Linked DNA regions of Nothobranchius furzeri. The protein of the gene in region 1 interacts with the protein of each later gene in a pairwise test. Links are inferred from orthologs where the notes say so. Each region holds a gene or a part of one and is shown on either strand. Other genes may lie near its edges. The genes, in order: eif4enif1 and efhc1.

Evidence for each region.
Region 2: the proteins of eif4enif1 (region 1) and efhc1 interact in binary tests that used the Homo sapiens proteins (3 or more experiments, as listed by UniProt). The two-hybrid records come from large-scale screens. The link is inferred for Nothobranchius furzeri from reciprocal best matches to the Homo sapiens genes EIF4ENIF1 and EFHC1.

What each region holds. Positions count from the first base shown.
Region 1 is NC_091743.1:66,909,599-66,918,126, reverse strand, and holds the start of eif4enif1 (eukaryotic translation initiation factor 4E transporter), read left to right. Parts: upstream 1-3,707; 5' UTR 3,708-3,899; intron 3,900-4,491; 5' UTR 4,492-4,538; coding exon 4,539-4,619; intron 4,620-4,696; coding exon 4,697-4,770; intron 4,771-7,525; coding exon 7,526-7,653; intron 7,654-7,860; coding exon 7,861-8,144; intron 8,145-8,303; coding exon 8,304-8,502; intron 8,503-8,528. Other genes in the region: protein SFI1 homolog, read right to left, coding at 1-69, 1,205-1,383, 1,461-1,542, 1,623-1,741, 2,105-2,171, 2,250-2,347. UniProt on the Homo sapiens protein: EIF4E-binding protein that regulates translation and stability of mRNAs in processing bodies (P-bodies). Plays a key role in P-bodies to coordinate the storage of translationally inactive mRNAs in the cytoplasm and prevent their degradation.
Region 2 is NC_091742.1:6,286,372-6,294,203, reverse strand, and holds the end of efhc1 (EF-hand domain-containing protein 1), read left to right. Parts: intron 1-543; coding exon 544-730; intron 731-931; coding exon 932-1,155; intron 1,156-1,264; coding exon 1,265-1,402; intron 1,403-4,688; coding exon 4,689-4,902; intron 4,903-6,483; coding exon 6,484-6,636; intron 6,637-6,745; coding exon 6,746-6,774; 3' UTR 6,775-6,875; downstream 6,876-7,832. UniProt on the Homo sapiens protein: Microtubule inner protein (MIP) part of the dynein-decorated doublet microtubules (DMTs) in cilia axoneme, which is required for motile cilia beating.

The DNA.
Region 1 (8,528 bases):
CATTTCTCTACAGCCCATCTCACGCAGCACAAGTCACCATGACGACAGGCCTGCTGCTCTCGGTCTCTCCTGAAATAAAACAAACCAACAAGTTTAGGAGTACAAACAGATTCATCCCTTAAGTTCGATGCACAAATCAACCAAGTTGTGCGATAGTGTGTTTTTTATTTGCGTCGACTGGCCAGAATCAAGCCCGTTGTCCAGAGTTAATCTAGAGTCTATCGCCCATGCTTTTATTCTGTTTAGGCTTGACTACTGCAACGCATTGGAATAGCAGTAGCTCAGGAAGTAGAGCAGGTTGTCCAGTAATTGGAAGGTTGCGGGTTCGACCCCAACTCCCACCAGAGATTGCTGCTGTTGTGTCTTTGGGCAAGAAACTTAACCCGCCTTGCCTGCTAGTGGTGCCAGCGTTCGGCAGCCTCGCCTCTGTCTGTGCACCCCAGGGCAGCTGTGGCTACCTCGTAGCTCATCCCCACCAGTGTGTGACTGGGTGAATGACTGACTGTGTTGTGAAGCACCTTGAGAGTTTGTAGAACCCTAAGAAGGCGATATACAAATACAGATCATTTACGGCCTGAGACAGAGCGCAGTTGCTCGCTTGCAGTTGGTCCGCTAGGTTTGTGATGGGCACTAGGTGTAGGGAGCATATCACTCCTGTGTTGGCATCCCTTCAGTGGCTTCCGGTGAAATACAAGGCCACATTTAAAGTCTTATTACTGACATACAAGGCCCTACAAGGATTGGCTCCAGGATCCTGCGTGGACATGCCCTATCGTGGGCCCTTCGATTGGCTGACAGAGAGCTGTTCTGTGGTTCCTCTTTCCAAGTGCAGGTCACGGAGGGACCATGATTGTTCGGTGCTAGCTCCTACACTTTGAAACCAGTTGCCTTTGGTGGTCGGTCAGTCACCTTCAGATCCACTTTTACACAAGGCATTCCAGCAATAGCAAACTCTTCAGTATTGTTGCCTGGCTTCTTATTCCTTTAGCTGCATTTTATTATTTTTTCTTTTTAATGTTTCTTTGATAGTTTTTGTGATTATGTCACATTTTATCTGATGGTTTTTATATTATGTTGTATTGATGTGTTCAGCACCTTGGGTGTCCGCCTCAGTCATGGAAGGGGCTGAATAAATGAAATGAAACCACCCTAACAAATAGTCTCAGATGGATCAAAAGGCTCGACGACGCTCATTTGGCCTCACCTGTCTCGTATCTTACAGCTGTTACTCTTCCACTGCGCCACCCCGTCACTGAGGAGTCTGTGAACGTCCAGGTGACGCCCAGCCTCCTCCTTCTCTGCCTCTTCCATGTGCTGCCTCGTGAGCCGTCTCCATCGAGCCCAGGCGCTCTGCAGGTGATGCTGCTCGGCGTGGAGAACTGTCTGGAAACACAATGCGACGAGCCTGATCAGCAGCTTGCTGCTGAATCAGATGTAGCTTTTATCTGCTCGTGGCGTACCATCCGCTCTGAGAGCATCTCCTCTTTGTGTGTCTCTAACTGTCTCCACCAGGTGTCCATCACCCAGATGGTCACACGCTGGCTGAGGACACAAAATCTAGTCAAGTTGGAAAAAAAATAATCACGGTTTACTGTTGTTTTGGAGTTCATGAACCACCTCACCGGTCAAAAGCCTCAGCTACATGTCTTCTCTGTTCTTGATGAGTCAGCTCCACCCATGACTTGAAATATTCAGATAAAATGCGCTCAGAAAACCACACGTCTGCACGACTCTCCATTCTCTGTCAAGAAACAAAAATATGCACATGCATATTTTAATTTACCCCTACATTGTGATAGTTTTTATTTTAGTGAGTCATCACGTTTTCACTTAGCATTAACACAAATATCTCATGAACCACAAAATAGACTAACATAAAAACTGCTAGTTTTACAGGTTAAATTTGTTTTGGTGACAAAACATGTGAGGCTTTATATAAAAAGTTATTTCATTGACATTATTTTAACTGTCTCCATAAAATTAAGCATCTCTAAGTGAAATTATGTCTAGTTCTAGTGACTTATCGTATTACTTCAGTAATTTTATGGTGATAAAACCGGACATATGTGATATTAGTATCTGGCAGGTAAACGTCTAGAAATACCTGCATATGTCTCTGTTCAGCAAGTTTCTTTCTCCAGATGTGAAAAAAGCTCCTCAGCAGAGAAATCCTGCAAAGAGAAAATACTTTTACACCCAAAACATTTTTTAAATCATTATTTTTCATTTAAGAAACAAAAGAACTTCACCGGTAGTTGATCTGAGCCTTCTCAGTTAGGGGTTGATAATTCTCATCTTCAGCCTCCTCCAGGCGCTCCTTCCACTGTTCCCAATGTTTTCCCATCATCTGTAATAAAACAAAAACACGAGCCCATCAGATGTTTCCAGATTTGAACTGAACAGCTGTAACTGATGTTGGTGTGTGGATCAGTTACTGTTTGTTGACAGTGTTGGACAGCCACGTTGTTGTTCACTCGGTGGGTTTTGTTCCGCGTGACGTTGAGAGAAAATCCCCCCAATGCTGCACACTGCAACAAAACCAAAATGAACAATAATCACGACCTTTTCCTTTTACCTCATCCTTCTATTTTCTCACCAATAAACGACGCTGAAAATGTTGACGTGCCTACTGGTTTCTCTCTGCTTCTTCTCTGCACAATTCCACGTCTGACATTACAAACACTTCAAGAATAATTTTGTAAATTTTTTGAACCAACTTCCGCGCGTTTGTTTAGGTTTTTCTTGTCACGTGACCTCTAATAGGGGTCTGTTTCTTTTCCATAGTTAAAGCGCACGAGCTGGCCTAGAAATGAGGGGCGGGTGCTCCTGTTTCTTTGGTACAGTGTAATGAAATATAAGATCGGATATTATTGGATTCGGTACAGATTTTAAGTGTCTCTATTCGAAAGTAAGACTTTTTTCCACTTAGGGTAACACAGACCAGCCACCCTCAGTAAACCAGATGATTATTGTCTTTTATAAGCCCTGCTGAGAAGACATAAATGGTGCGCACCCACTCGGAAAAAGTAGCTAGAGCGATATTTTGATCTCGACGCTCCATATATCTACAAAGCGGTTATACAGGCTAAATTTCTAAAGAAATCTTCAAGCTGATCTATACATATTTCTCATAAAACTCTTCACCAAACAGCAACTTAAATGTGCTTATTTATCTCATGACAGAAGCAAGAAAGAAAAACACGGGGTTTACAAAGGCATGGCATATACATTTACCTTGACCGCCCGAAAAGGCGGGCTCCATAGATTTCCCTGAATGTCTCGAGAAACCACTCCGCAGAATCATAAATCAAGCAAACCCTAAAGTTTTAAATAGGTGGCCTAAATATTGCCTGTTTGTGTTGTAAATTGGTTAAAAATGTTTTTTCCCCAAATAAATAAACACGTTTCACGTGATAATTAAAAAAACATTTCTTGAACCCGCATACATTACAAATATTTGTTTATGTACCAAAATGCAATACTGTCAACACACAATGCATTTATTTTATCATTAATATATTTTTTTAATTCTACAAAGGCGCGATGGGCACAATGTAATCTCTCCCAGGACCTTCTTAAAGCGGTGATTGTAAGAAAAAAATTGCTGCTACGATTTAGAAAACAGAGAAAGACCATACATTATTTTAAGAATATACAGGCTCCACGTAACTTAATATGTTATTTGAACCTGATCTATTTTTTCAGTTTACCTTACAATAGTGTGTTTACTAAAACCAGTACAAAACTCAACCGGTTTAGGATTTGGTAACCGCTGGGTGGGTTTTATCCCCATTCCCCAGCTGGTTAGGTAGCTAGCGAAAGGTGCTAACAGGCTAGCTGGCTAACTAACGTTAACTGCAGCTGGGAAGGAAGCAGACAGCGTTTAACTCATTTTCACAGTAAGTTGTTAGTGTGTCCTTTAAGCTTTTTTTAATGGCTGGTACTGTTTTTACGTGCAACTTAAGTTTGTGGTAACAGAGTTCGTTTGTTGCTGTTTTTTAGTTTTGTGCTAATTATGTTAGCTTAAATTTCTTTCGATTAAGATATTTTCTCGAGAATGTGTTGTTCAAAGAAACGTTTTACTCAAGCTGAGGATTTATAAGCTGCCTTTTAGCATCTACGTGCTACACAAACCTGGTCAAACATCGCCAGCGCTTTGTAATTTACTTTAATTGACACGCCGTGTCTAGTCCCAGCTATTTCTGATTGTGATTAATTAAGTCTGATTGGCAAACGGCATGGGCTTGAACCTGACATTTAAAAGTTTTGCTAACTTTAATTCCGATAATTTGAAAGTTGTGTGTTGGACTCTTAAGTCAGTTTTATGCTTGCACTTTTTAAATAGCGTTTTGGGCATGTTTATGAGAAATACGCCTTGTTCCTAAATTTTAAGACGAAATCGTTAAATTACTGACACTAGAGAGTAGCCACACAACTGCGTTGCTTTATAAGGATTTCTGAAATTAAAAGTAGCTAACTTTGTTCCAACAGGACAAGATTATTATTGGACAACATAGTTTGATTGTCTGTATTCAGTCATGGAGAAGGATGCAAATGAAGAACAGAATGGTGATGCTGCTGTGAATCAGCAAAGGAAACCAGCATTCAGATACACAAAGGTGATTAGTTAAAAAAAATAATTGTTTCTTTGTTTGGCCACAATCCCTTAAATTAATGTAACTATTTCTGTTCACAGGAAGAGCTTCTGGAAATAAAGGAACTACCAGTGTCCAATGAAAGACCTGAATGCCTCTCTGAGAAATATGACAGGTATTTTTTTTATTTTTAAGTTTTGTATCAAATTCTTAACAAGGTTTAAAAGGGAATGAAATCCAGTTATATCATAGAATTGTCTGCAGATTATCTCAATAAGTGAACAGAAAGTACAGAAACATTCTGCAGTGGAAGCAGCCTTGTCAGATAAGCTGATTTAGAAAGTTTTTCATTACCTTCAGATACTAGGTAGAATAGATCTGTTTAAGAAAAGATTGTGAACCCTGTTGGTTTGTGCTCGTTTAAATTAAGCAGGTTTTGAGTTTTACACTTCAGTTGCCTTTTTGTTAAATGAGGAGTAAAAAAGTCCATTTTGTTTGTTTTTTTAAAGAATATTCAAAAACCATTTCATTAAACGGTTCTTTATGGATCAAATGTGTTGTAACTGTTACAGTTCTTAAACATTCTACTGAAAGTTGCATCTGAGATTAGGGGTTGTATGAACTAGTCGACTTCACTGCTCTGTAGTGACTTTTTATGCCTGTCATCGACTAGTCGCTGTCACGTGATAATGACTGACAAGATGCAGTCCTCCAGCAGGTGATGAGCCCCTGCGTCGGGAGGCGGAGGCAACGCGCTGTGCCAGAGTGTCGGTACTGACACTGGCGGTAAAACAGACATTTAACCAAACTGTGACCTTTTCCCTTGTGCAATTTTACCTTCCCCTCACCCCCATCCTAATCTTAACCAGTTTGCGCATGCAAAGCTCTGATCGTTGACGCGCTCCAGACATCTGCATCCTGAGCACCGCCAAATCAGGTGTCACCACCTCAAAAACAAATTAAACACGCGATCGTTCATGTCGGCTCATTTCCTTTCATGTTTTCTGTCTGTTATTTGTGCCTGATGCGTTTCGCTGCTGCGGAGCGAGGCTCTTCACCTGTTTTGTTCTCCGGTGACGCACCCCCAAGATTCCAGTATCTCCGCTCCGGCACGAACCCCGCAGCAAAAACGGTCCTGTTGTAGTCAGCCGGCGAGCAGTGGCACTCCGCTGTTTTTGTGGTCGGTAGATCTTTTAGAACTGCAGTTCAAAGGTAACTCATAAGGTGAATATATATGAACCCAGGTAGCAGTTTTTCTTTAGGATTGAGAGGAGATGCAGGAAGATAATAAACAGACAGGACAGAAAAATAGTCAAATAAAAACAAGTTTGTTTTTGTACCTGGTGGTTGCAACAAACAGACACCATTGAAGGTAATCAGAAGTGAGGAACAGAAAATGAAATAATTATTTTAATGTTAAGAGCAGCAGGAAAGGCTGCAGGCGCATCAGTGAGTTTGCGGCTGCTGCGCAGGGGGAGGGGGGAGAGGACTGAAGTAGGATGCAGAAACTACCATTGTTAAAAGAGATGTGTTAACTTAGAAAATGTGGGCGCAATTTTAATTGTCAAAAACTCCAGCGAATCTACCGACCCCCCCCCCCCCCCACGCTTCGGGTGTATGACATCAACAACTAGTCGAAGTCGACTCGATTTTCATTACTTGACTGTCGACTTTAAAAAAAAATTAAGTCATGCAAACCCTATCTGAGATAAACTACAAAAATGTTGTCCAACTGCTGGTGTGTGCATGTGTGTGTTCAAGCATGTGTGTATTCAAGCTAAATAGCAATACTGCACAAGTAGGACATAACAAATTATCAGGCTTTTGTATTTTTTCTTATTACAAGAGGGACTCGCTGACCTGGTCTTTAGGTGATTGCAAGTATCCTGTCATGGTAGTTTTTTTTTTTTTTTTTTACATTTTGTGAGAAGTGGGGCCTTTTTTTTTTTTAAATTTTTTGGTAATGTTTTGGGGTTCTGATGATCAATTCCAAGAAAGACAAGTAAAATATTCAGTTCGTGGTTTGTATTGGTACTTGAAATTAAGAGATTGCATTTTAATGTGGCATTCAAGGTACCTGAGGTACATGGATGCGATACTGCTGCTGAATTTCCCGTGTTTTACTGCAATTGAGATCTAGCTTTATGTATTCTGTGTAGCAGGGTCACTGGACTTAAGAAAAAAATATATGAACATCCTAAACACACCATTGTTTGCAATACGGCCTAAGACATGATAAATTGTAGTTTGCATGTTGATCTGATGGCCATGCACACACCTGGTTTAGACGATGAAAGTTGAAACAGTTAAAATTTGAACTTTTATGGAACGTATAGAGGAAAATAGGGATTTCTAATATCACAATATTCATGAATAAAACTGCAATTGCATGTTTCTTTCTAGCGTATTGCTCTAGTTCCCAGTCTTATTTCATCGCAGCCACACTAAATTTGAAATTTTTCAAAAACATTATTGATTTTACCAAAAAGAATTTAGATGTGTAATTATTTGCAGCCCAGCAGCTGTTTTGCATTAAAATTAAGAAATCAACAGGCGACTGGTGCTCCCTTACTTCATTTTGAATAAAAAATGTTCAATCTTGCCGTGTGTGGCGGCTTTGTTCTGTGGTCTGTATGTTTTGATGACTAATGCAAACGTATAGTAACATTGTGGTGCTTTTTTTTTTCTTCACTTTAACATTAGCCTTGTGTCCTAAAACAGATTAGTGGCAATTGAGCCAAAAAAAATGGACAGAACCAAATGATTCACAGCATATAATCAGATAAAGTCTTTGTAGTATTTCTAATTATCAACACTTAAAAGTGTTGCATGCATGAAGGGTCTTGAATTTTCTATTCTTGGTATGCCTTTAGTTTTCAAACTAATACATTCCCACAATATTTCTCATTTTTAATGTTTGTTTTATTTAGTGATGGTGTCTGGGACCCAGAGAAATGGCATGCATCCTTGTACCCCATCTCAGAGCGAAGCTCTCCAGTAGAAGGATTTAAGAAGGACTACGGCGATGAACGGGTTCCTTTAAAGAGAAGAGTCCCAGGTAAATGTTTTCCTCTTCATTTCAGATGACTGAGAATTTGGGTTTAAAAAGTTTCCTTTAGTGTGAAAGACAAGTCCCGACAGTTGGAAGTTGTTGCGCTGTAGACTGAAACATGGTTTCTCTGGAAAAATAAAAAGTAAATGGTAGTATTTGTACTTAAACTGTGAACTTGAGTTTCTTGTTTTAAAATTTAAAAACTTTTTTTAGATCCTCGTGAGCGGTTAAAGGAGGACGACTTAGATGTCGTACTCAGCCCACAGAGACGTAGTTTTGGAGGTGGATGTCAAGGCAATGCAGCACCTGCACCACCTGCTACCCACTCCCGTCGACCCCCCAGCCCACTGGAAAACAAGGAAAATGAGTCTCTTCGTCTCGGAGGAACTCGCAGAATTGGCAGTGGACGAATTATTGCTTCCCGTGCCTTTGAGAGAGAAGCCCGTGCAGAAAAGGAGCGAGAACGGGAGAGAGACTTTAAGGATAAAAGATTCCGGGTGGGTTTTATTTACTAGTTCATCAGAACAGCATTCTCTGTAGTGGGATGAAAAGATTTAAATTCATTACAGCTTCTGTAATATTGTTTTTATGTGTTAATGTTTTTAAGAATTTGCTTTGCATTTTTGTTGAAGTGGTGCTGTGTTTGTCCCTTGCAGAGAGATTTTAGTGACAAGCGTGTGTTTAGTGAAAGGAGAAGAAATGACTCGTATGCAGAGGAGGAGCCGGAGTGGTTCTCAGCAGGTCCCACCAGCCAGTCGGAGACCATAGAGCTCATCGGATTTGATGACAAAATTCTGGAGGAAGATAAACGCAGGTCCAAGCGGTCAAGAAAGAGAGTGGACTCTGTTAAAGAAGGCACGTTGAAGCTTTTTTCTGTTTAT
Region 2 (7,832 bases), on another chromosome or scaffold:
CATATAACAGGAAACAAAGTGGGAAAGAACGGATCTGACTTCCTCCTTTCAATGTAAACGTTTTTTCATAATAAAAGCAAAAATAAAATTTGATACAGGTAAGAGAAGAGAAAAAGGACGTTTTCTCTGCTGGGTTACCATAGGCAAACTGAAAGGCTAACTGCTAGCATAACAGCTAACTGGCACAAAGCAGGTAAAAAGCTCCCCCTACCCGCTCCACAAAACTAAGTGCAGTATCTGGCCAGCAGCGGGCTGCAGAGTGTTGTCAGATAAGAAACTGGTCAAGTTTATAACTCAACAATCACTAGCTTAAAGTTTAAAAAACTATTTAGTGTTGCTTACAAAAAGATTTTAATTTCCTTATTACAATTTCATTACAGGTGGTTAGTTATTAAAAATTCTAAATAAAAAAAACAAATTTTCAAATATCATATTGTTTTAAAAAAATCTGGCACAACGTTATTTATTATTTATTTCAAATACTAATGATATATTTCTTTGTAATACCAGTTCAGCATTCAGGCTGTTTGATTCTTTGGTCAGGTGCTACGTTTTTATGCCCTGTATGACAAATCGGACACACCTTATGAAGATCCCCGGCCAATGATCATCTACTATTACCTGGTGGACGACACAGTGGAGATCAGTGAGGTCCATGAACACAACAGCGGCTGGAATCCCTCCTCTCGCTTCTTGCGCAGGCAGAAGATCCCCAAGAAGCTGAAATCTGGTGAGATAAAATTAACCAAATGTAGTTTGTGAGACGAGGTATTTCATAAAAAATATTGACACAAAGTGGTGGTGTCAAAATACACCAAATTACACCAAAATACACAACATGTTTTCAACTCCTCTAATAAGTGAAAATAAATGCTTTTTGTCCTGGATAGATTTTCTCATTTTTCTCTCTTTTTAAAATTTGCTTTGTAAGAAACGGCCCCTAGCTGTATAATGGAGCTCACTAAGAAGGATGTAGAGGAGTACTACTCCCCCAAAGACTTCCAGCTGGGTCAAAAGGTCACCCTGCTGAACCATCACTTCTTGCTCTACAACTGTGATGCCTTCACTAAAGACTATTACCAGAAGAACTTCCCAGACATGGAGATGAAACCCACAGAGATACCAGTGAAGAAGGAATCTCCAATTCCAGAGAAGGTCTGGAACACATTCTTCGTATTACTTTGTCAGACTAAAGATATCTGTTGTAACATTAATATTTCTCTCAAACCTTACTTTTTCTGCATCCTGTTGTCAACATGCACAGCACATACCACCCTACAATGGATTCGGTTCTCTTGAAGACTCCCTTCAGAACTGTTTGTCTTTAATTCCCAAGCGTCCTAAAGGGAACCTGCAGAAGATGTTGAAGGGTGACACTGTGTTGCGCTACAGCGCCCGGTTGGTGAGGAAACCTTTGAAATCTCGAATACTTAATGATTAGAATTCTGACATTTCTTTTTGTTTCGACTTGAAAAGCCTTTGCTAACAATCATAAAACAAATAAAGGTGTGGAACACTCATTTAATCAGTAAAGTTAAAGTCCCATAGTTGTCACACACTGGTGTGGTGAAAATTGTCCTCTGCATTTGACCCATCTCTGTGGGGAGCGGTGAACTGCAGCGGTGGCTGCGCTCGGGAACTATTTGGTGATTTAACCCCCCAATCCAACCCCTTAAAGCTAAGTGTGAAGCAGGGAGGCATTGGGTCCCATTTTATTTAGTCTTTGGTATGACTCGACCGGTTTTTGAACTCCAATCTCCCAGTAGCAGGGCGTACACTCTATCACTAGGCCACTGAAGTGGGTAGTATAGCTACACACACTGCAGTTCCCCTCCTAAACTCTAGGTTTTGCTACAGGAAATGTATTAGCTCTACAGAGCAGGAATGGTCCTCAGAGTAAATCAGGAAGTTTAGTTTCAGATGCGCTTGTTTCAGGAACTAGCAGAGTGCCACAACAGAGCAGAGCTTATCGCGGCAGAATTTGGAGTCATATTTCCTGATATTTGGACCTCCCACCTTGGGTTGGATAACAGCAATGTGACTCTAACACTGACTTGCAACGTTGATGTTTTGTCTCCACAAATAACACAAGCCTGGATGAGTTCTGCTGTGTGGTGGAATTGCTAATGCTAACGGTTAGCTTCTACTTGCCCGGACGTTCTTAGCTGTTTCCTGACCGCTAAACCAACAACAGCCTTCTCTGTCAAGATGGGTGAGTCCATGAATGTTCAGCAACAGTGTGACGTAGATCTGTCAGGATCAAGGGCGTCAGTTTGTTTTCAGAATTGCTGGGGACAATAACCATACACTTGAGTGGGGTTTAAAAATTGCTGGGGACAATAAAGAAGGCTAGCACAGGGGTCGGCAATCCGCGGCTCTGGAGCCGCATGCTCTTCCATCCATCTGATGCAACTCTCTGTGCTTGTAAAATAATAAATGGATATTTAAATAAAATGCTTTATATTTTACTGCATTAATTTTACACCTGTATGCCAATTCTAAATGTAGATTGTCTGCGTAAACCTGAACAGGTCCAACCCGGTCTGCGGTGGTTGACCGGTCACGCTTGTGCGTAATCATATAGGCACTTTATGAGCTGAAGAGGATGTGAGATTCTGGGCTTCTCCTCAGACGGCTCCTGGATGTGTCGCCACATTGGAGACAGGAACAAGCACTATTCAGCCAAAGTTTATAATCAGGGAACATTTTCTAAGTGACAAGTCTCTCTGAGAGACGGGGTTTGGAAAACACTCGCTTCAGTGGGAGGAATCTTCCCGCATGTGCACTGCATGGTTCTCTGCGTGGCTCTAGGGTTAATCAAGTTTAATTGTTTCTCTTTGCAACAATCTTCACAGGAAGGCAAAACAGTTAAACGGCAGGTTACATATATTTCCATTTGACTGTTTATTTTGACAGATGAACTCAAGGATGTTGCTCTGTTTGAAAGAATTACCCCGACGCCCTTTGATGCACATGGATGAGCTGACATTTTAATCGTTAACGCACATCGCGGAGGTAAAATATTCCCATCAGAACATCAGAGCTCTTTATACTGGACACTGTGTTCAGCGCGGCTCGGAGCGCCCCGGTGGACAGTGAGCTGAAGATCTGGGGTTCCAGCGCAGTGCAGCGCAGCGCAGAACCACGCGCATGCGATGATTTCCTCCCACTGAAATAGTCTGGAAACCCGGTCTCTCTGAGGGATGTGTCACTTGGAAAGTGTTCTTTTTATGAAATTATGAAACTTTGGCTGAACAGCGCTTGTTCCCGTCTCTAATATGGAGACGCATGAAGCGTATGACATTTGATCACGCACAAAGTTTATGTGGAGCAGAAGCGGTCGGGCCACGGCAGGTGAAATGTTCCTAGCCTATATACATGAAGTGAAACTGTTTAATTGTAACATTAATGTTACTGGACACGCTGGTCTGGTTGGTTAGACCAGTGTTTGAAGTGGAAAACACACACACACACACACACACACACACACACACACACACACCAATTAAAATAATGCTGATAGCGTGGACTAGAAGACAGGTGATGGTTTACGTATTTAAATGATGATCAGGCTGCTGTAAAATGTAATCTCCATCCACATCCAGACACAATTATCCTCTATTCTTTCTCTAGTTGCTCTGCTCTTGTCTGGGCTGATCAGCTGATGGTGCGCGCGCGCCTAACTAGCGGCTGATGCACATTTTACGCATTTGGAGAGATGGACTGGATGCTGTGCGTTTACTGGAAGATGGTCCACTTAACACACGGGTGTAGACTACATATTAATGACAAATGAATGAAAATTAAATTGTGAGTTTTTACTTCATATTTTAGTAATAAAAATGACGGGGGAACACATTTATGACGTCTTTTAAATGAAATTTTCTAGCGCGACCTGCCTGCTTCACTTAAGTCTCTGCTTATTAAGGTCCGTCCAAAATTACCGTGGGAAACGGGTAATAATGGTTCTTTGATGGGAACAGGTTGCCGACCCCTGGTATAAGATCTGAACTGGTAAAACAAAAATCCTCATCAGCAGGCGTTTTTGAAAGTGGGGGGGACACAGCTGCCAATCACAAATTTTGCCGGGGACATGTCCCCGGCGTCCCCGGTTAAAATGACGCCTATGGTCAGGATTTTCAACATTCAGTCAAATTCTACCTTAGTAAACATTAAACTGTAAAATTTAAGAATTTGGATTTTTATGTACTCGGTTTTTAAAAGGTGTGATTCGCTCATTTTTTTTGGTACATTTGCTGTGGTCTTGTAAGTCATACTCTGGGGAAACAAAGCTCCAGTGCACAATTTTCAGGAAGTAGAAGTAAGCTGCATCAGAGTAGAGTTTCAGATGGTGGGATTTGGAGTCTTATTTCCTGATATTTGAACATAACGCCCCAGATTGGATAACAGCACTGGAACATTGATGTTTTATCTCCAAAAATAACACAAACCTGGAGGGGTTTTTCCATGTGGTGGAGTTGCTGATGCTGACATTTACCTTCAAATTCTGGATTTTCACCATCTATTTTCTACCAGAGACTAATTCAGGAGATAAGTGTAGGAGACTATTTTCACATTCAGCCTGCAAGGAAAACTTAGCAACCAATTATAATCAGAAATAATCGTTAAAAAATGGTTTTTCAGTGTTCGACACCTTTAAACTAAAGTATGTTTGATTTTGGTTCCAGGACTCGGTGAATCCTGAGGATGAAGGCCGACAGTTTGTTATGTCGTACTTCCTGTTGGACGACACGATCAGCATTTTTGAGAAACCTGTCTGCAACTCTGGTTTCATCGGTGGGAAATTCCTGAGAAAGACTTGCGTTCCCAAGCCAGGCTCTTCCGTGGAAAAACCAGAGTTCTACTCACCTGTGGACTTTGCCATTGGAGCCACTGTAGAAGGTAGCATTTCAATCCATCCATCCATTTTCATCCACTTATCCGAAGTCGGGTCTCACGGGCAGTAGCCTAAGGTGAGAGGCCCAGACTTCCCTCTCCCCAGCCACTTGGGCCAGCTCCTCCGGGGTAATCCCAAGGCGCTCCCAGGCCAGGTGAGAGACATAGTCCCTCCACCGTGTCCTGGGTCTACCTTTAGGTCTCATCCCGGTTGGATGTGCCCAGAAAACCTCACCAGGGAGGCGTCCAGGAGGCATCCTGACCAGATGCATGAGCCACCTCAACTGGCTCCTCTCGATGTGGAGGAGCAGTGGGTCTACTCCGAGCCCCTCCCGAATGACTGAGCTTCTCACCCTATCTCTAAGGGAGAGCCCAGCCACTCTTCGGAGAAAACTCATTTCGGCCGCTTGTATCCGTGATCTCGTTCTTTCGATCACTACCCAAAGCTCATGACCATAGGTGAGGGTAGGAACGTAGATCAACCGGTAAATCAAAAGCTTCGCCCTCTGACTCAGCTCTCTCTTCACCACGACAGACCGATACAACACCCGCATCACTGCAGATGCAGCACCAATCCACCTATCAATCTCACGCTCCACTTTTCCCTCACTGGTGAACAAGACCCTGAGATACTTAAACTCCTCCACTTGGGGCAGGACCTCATCCCTGACCCGGAGAAGGCATTCTACCCTTTTCCGAATCAAGACCATGGTCTCAGATTTAGAGGAGCTGATTCTCATCCCAGCTGCTTCACACTCGGCTGCGAACCGCTCCAGCGAAAGCTGAAGATCACGGTCTGATGAAGCCAACAGGACCACATCATCTGCAAAAATCAGAGACCTGATCCTCAGGCCACCAAAACGGATGCCCTTCACACCTTGGCTGCGCCTAGAAATCCAGTCCATAAAGGTGATGAACAGAATCGGTGACAAAGGGCAACCTTGGCGGAGTCCAGCTCACACTGGGATGGAGCCCGACTTACTGCCGGCAATGCGGACCAAGCTCTGACACCGGTCATACAGGGACCTAACAGCCCGTATCAGAGGGCCTGGTACCCCATACTCCCGGAGTACTCCCCACAGGGCCCCCGAGGGACACGGTCAAACGCCTTCCCCAAATCCACAAAACACATGGAGACTGGTTGGGCAAATTCCCACACACCCTCCAGGATCCCCCTAAGGGTATAGAGCTGGTCCAGTGTTCCATGGCCAGGACAAAAACCACATTGCTCCTCCTGAATCTGAGGTTCAACAATCCGACGGACCCTCCACTTCAGATTTGACCTAGTGGATTTTCAGAGGTTTTCGGGCTGCTCTTTGTCTGATCCCTCACCTAGGACCTGTTTGCCATGGCTGACCCTACCAGAGGCAGAAAGCCTCAGACAACTTAGCTCCTAGGATCATTGAGACACTCAAACCCCTCCACCACGGTAAGGTGGCAGCCCAGGGAGAGGTAGCATTTCAATGTAATCCCCAAATTCTGAACGTTAATATTTACTCTAAAGTTTCACCAAGATAGACAATGTTTTATAATGAATGCCATACCGAGCTGCATTCACCATTAATGCAGCTGACGGTTTGTTTCCAGTTTTAGGCCATCGCTTTGTGCTGACCGGCGCTGCCCCACAAGTGCTTAAGTACTTGGAGTCAATCTCCAGCAAGATTCCCTCTCACACACTGGATTCTTTGAGACATACACTTGGTGAGAAGATGGCAGAAAACCAACCAGACGAGCAGAACGGTAAGAATCAAATCTGTCTTTATTCCCAACACTCCCACACAAACTGCCTGGTTTAATAAAAAGAATTGTGCATGAATGTAATTCTGCACTTTTGTTTCCTCCTCAACAGGCGAAGAACCAAAATCATCTCCGACATGAACACTGGATTTTATTTCAATGTTTCTGCTTCAAAACACAGAAGAAACACTGAATGTTTAAAAGGTTTGACCTAGTGGATTTTCAAATAAATTTACAAACGGGAACGATGGAAATGATTTTAAAGACAGCATTCTCATCCTGCAGTAGTTCAGTAGCCCCAGTTGTGCTTTATTATTGGCGCTATACTAATAGTATCACTTTGCTTTTCTTCCTAAAAACACATCTGACCCAAAAACAAAATGCTTAGATACTCCAGATAATCCTACAACTTGCTTCAGAAAGTCATTTTATTGAAGACATTTAAGAAGAGAACAAAAACAAAACATGGAATGACAAAGCAGTAAACGTCTGTTGGGCTCTAAGGATTTCCTTGGATTTCATTATCCAGCGCTCAAGCTTAAGTCAATCAATCAATCAATCAATCAAAGCTTTATTTATAAAGCGCCTTCCGCAACCCTGTCAGGAAGCCCAAAGTGCTGAACATGGTACAGTTGTAGGTAAATATATTGAATAAATCAACAATAAAAGCAATTCAAATTACAAAATACAAATTACAAAATACAAATTACAAGATAGATGAAACATTCTGGTACAGGACAAATGTGTGAAACACAATTGGATTGAGTGGATGGATTGAGTGAACCAATGAAAACTGTAAAATAAATCTGTTGTGACCGAGTGCCTGTGACATCACAGGAAGTTCCCGGCCAAAAGCTTGGTGGCCAGCGGGCCGCTGGCTTCACTGAGAAGCTTCAGTCGGGGGCTAACGGTCGTTTAGTTCACCTTCTTATGTGGATTTGAGTTTCTTTGTCCGAGGAGAAACTCCATTCTCAGCTTAAATGACTCTATTTTCATGGTAACCAGCTGGCAAGGAGACACGGGATGGAGAAGTCAAGATCAAGCAGTTCATTAAGATACAACATAAGTGGCAAAACTCACTTGAGTCTCTCTTTAGCGGCTGCAAGGGTTGCTTTGTATTGCCCTTCTTGCGGACGGCCTGTTCGTGTCTGAACTCCCTCCAGCGCCTCAGCTGGAAGCGGATAAACTTCCAGAGGATC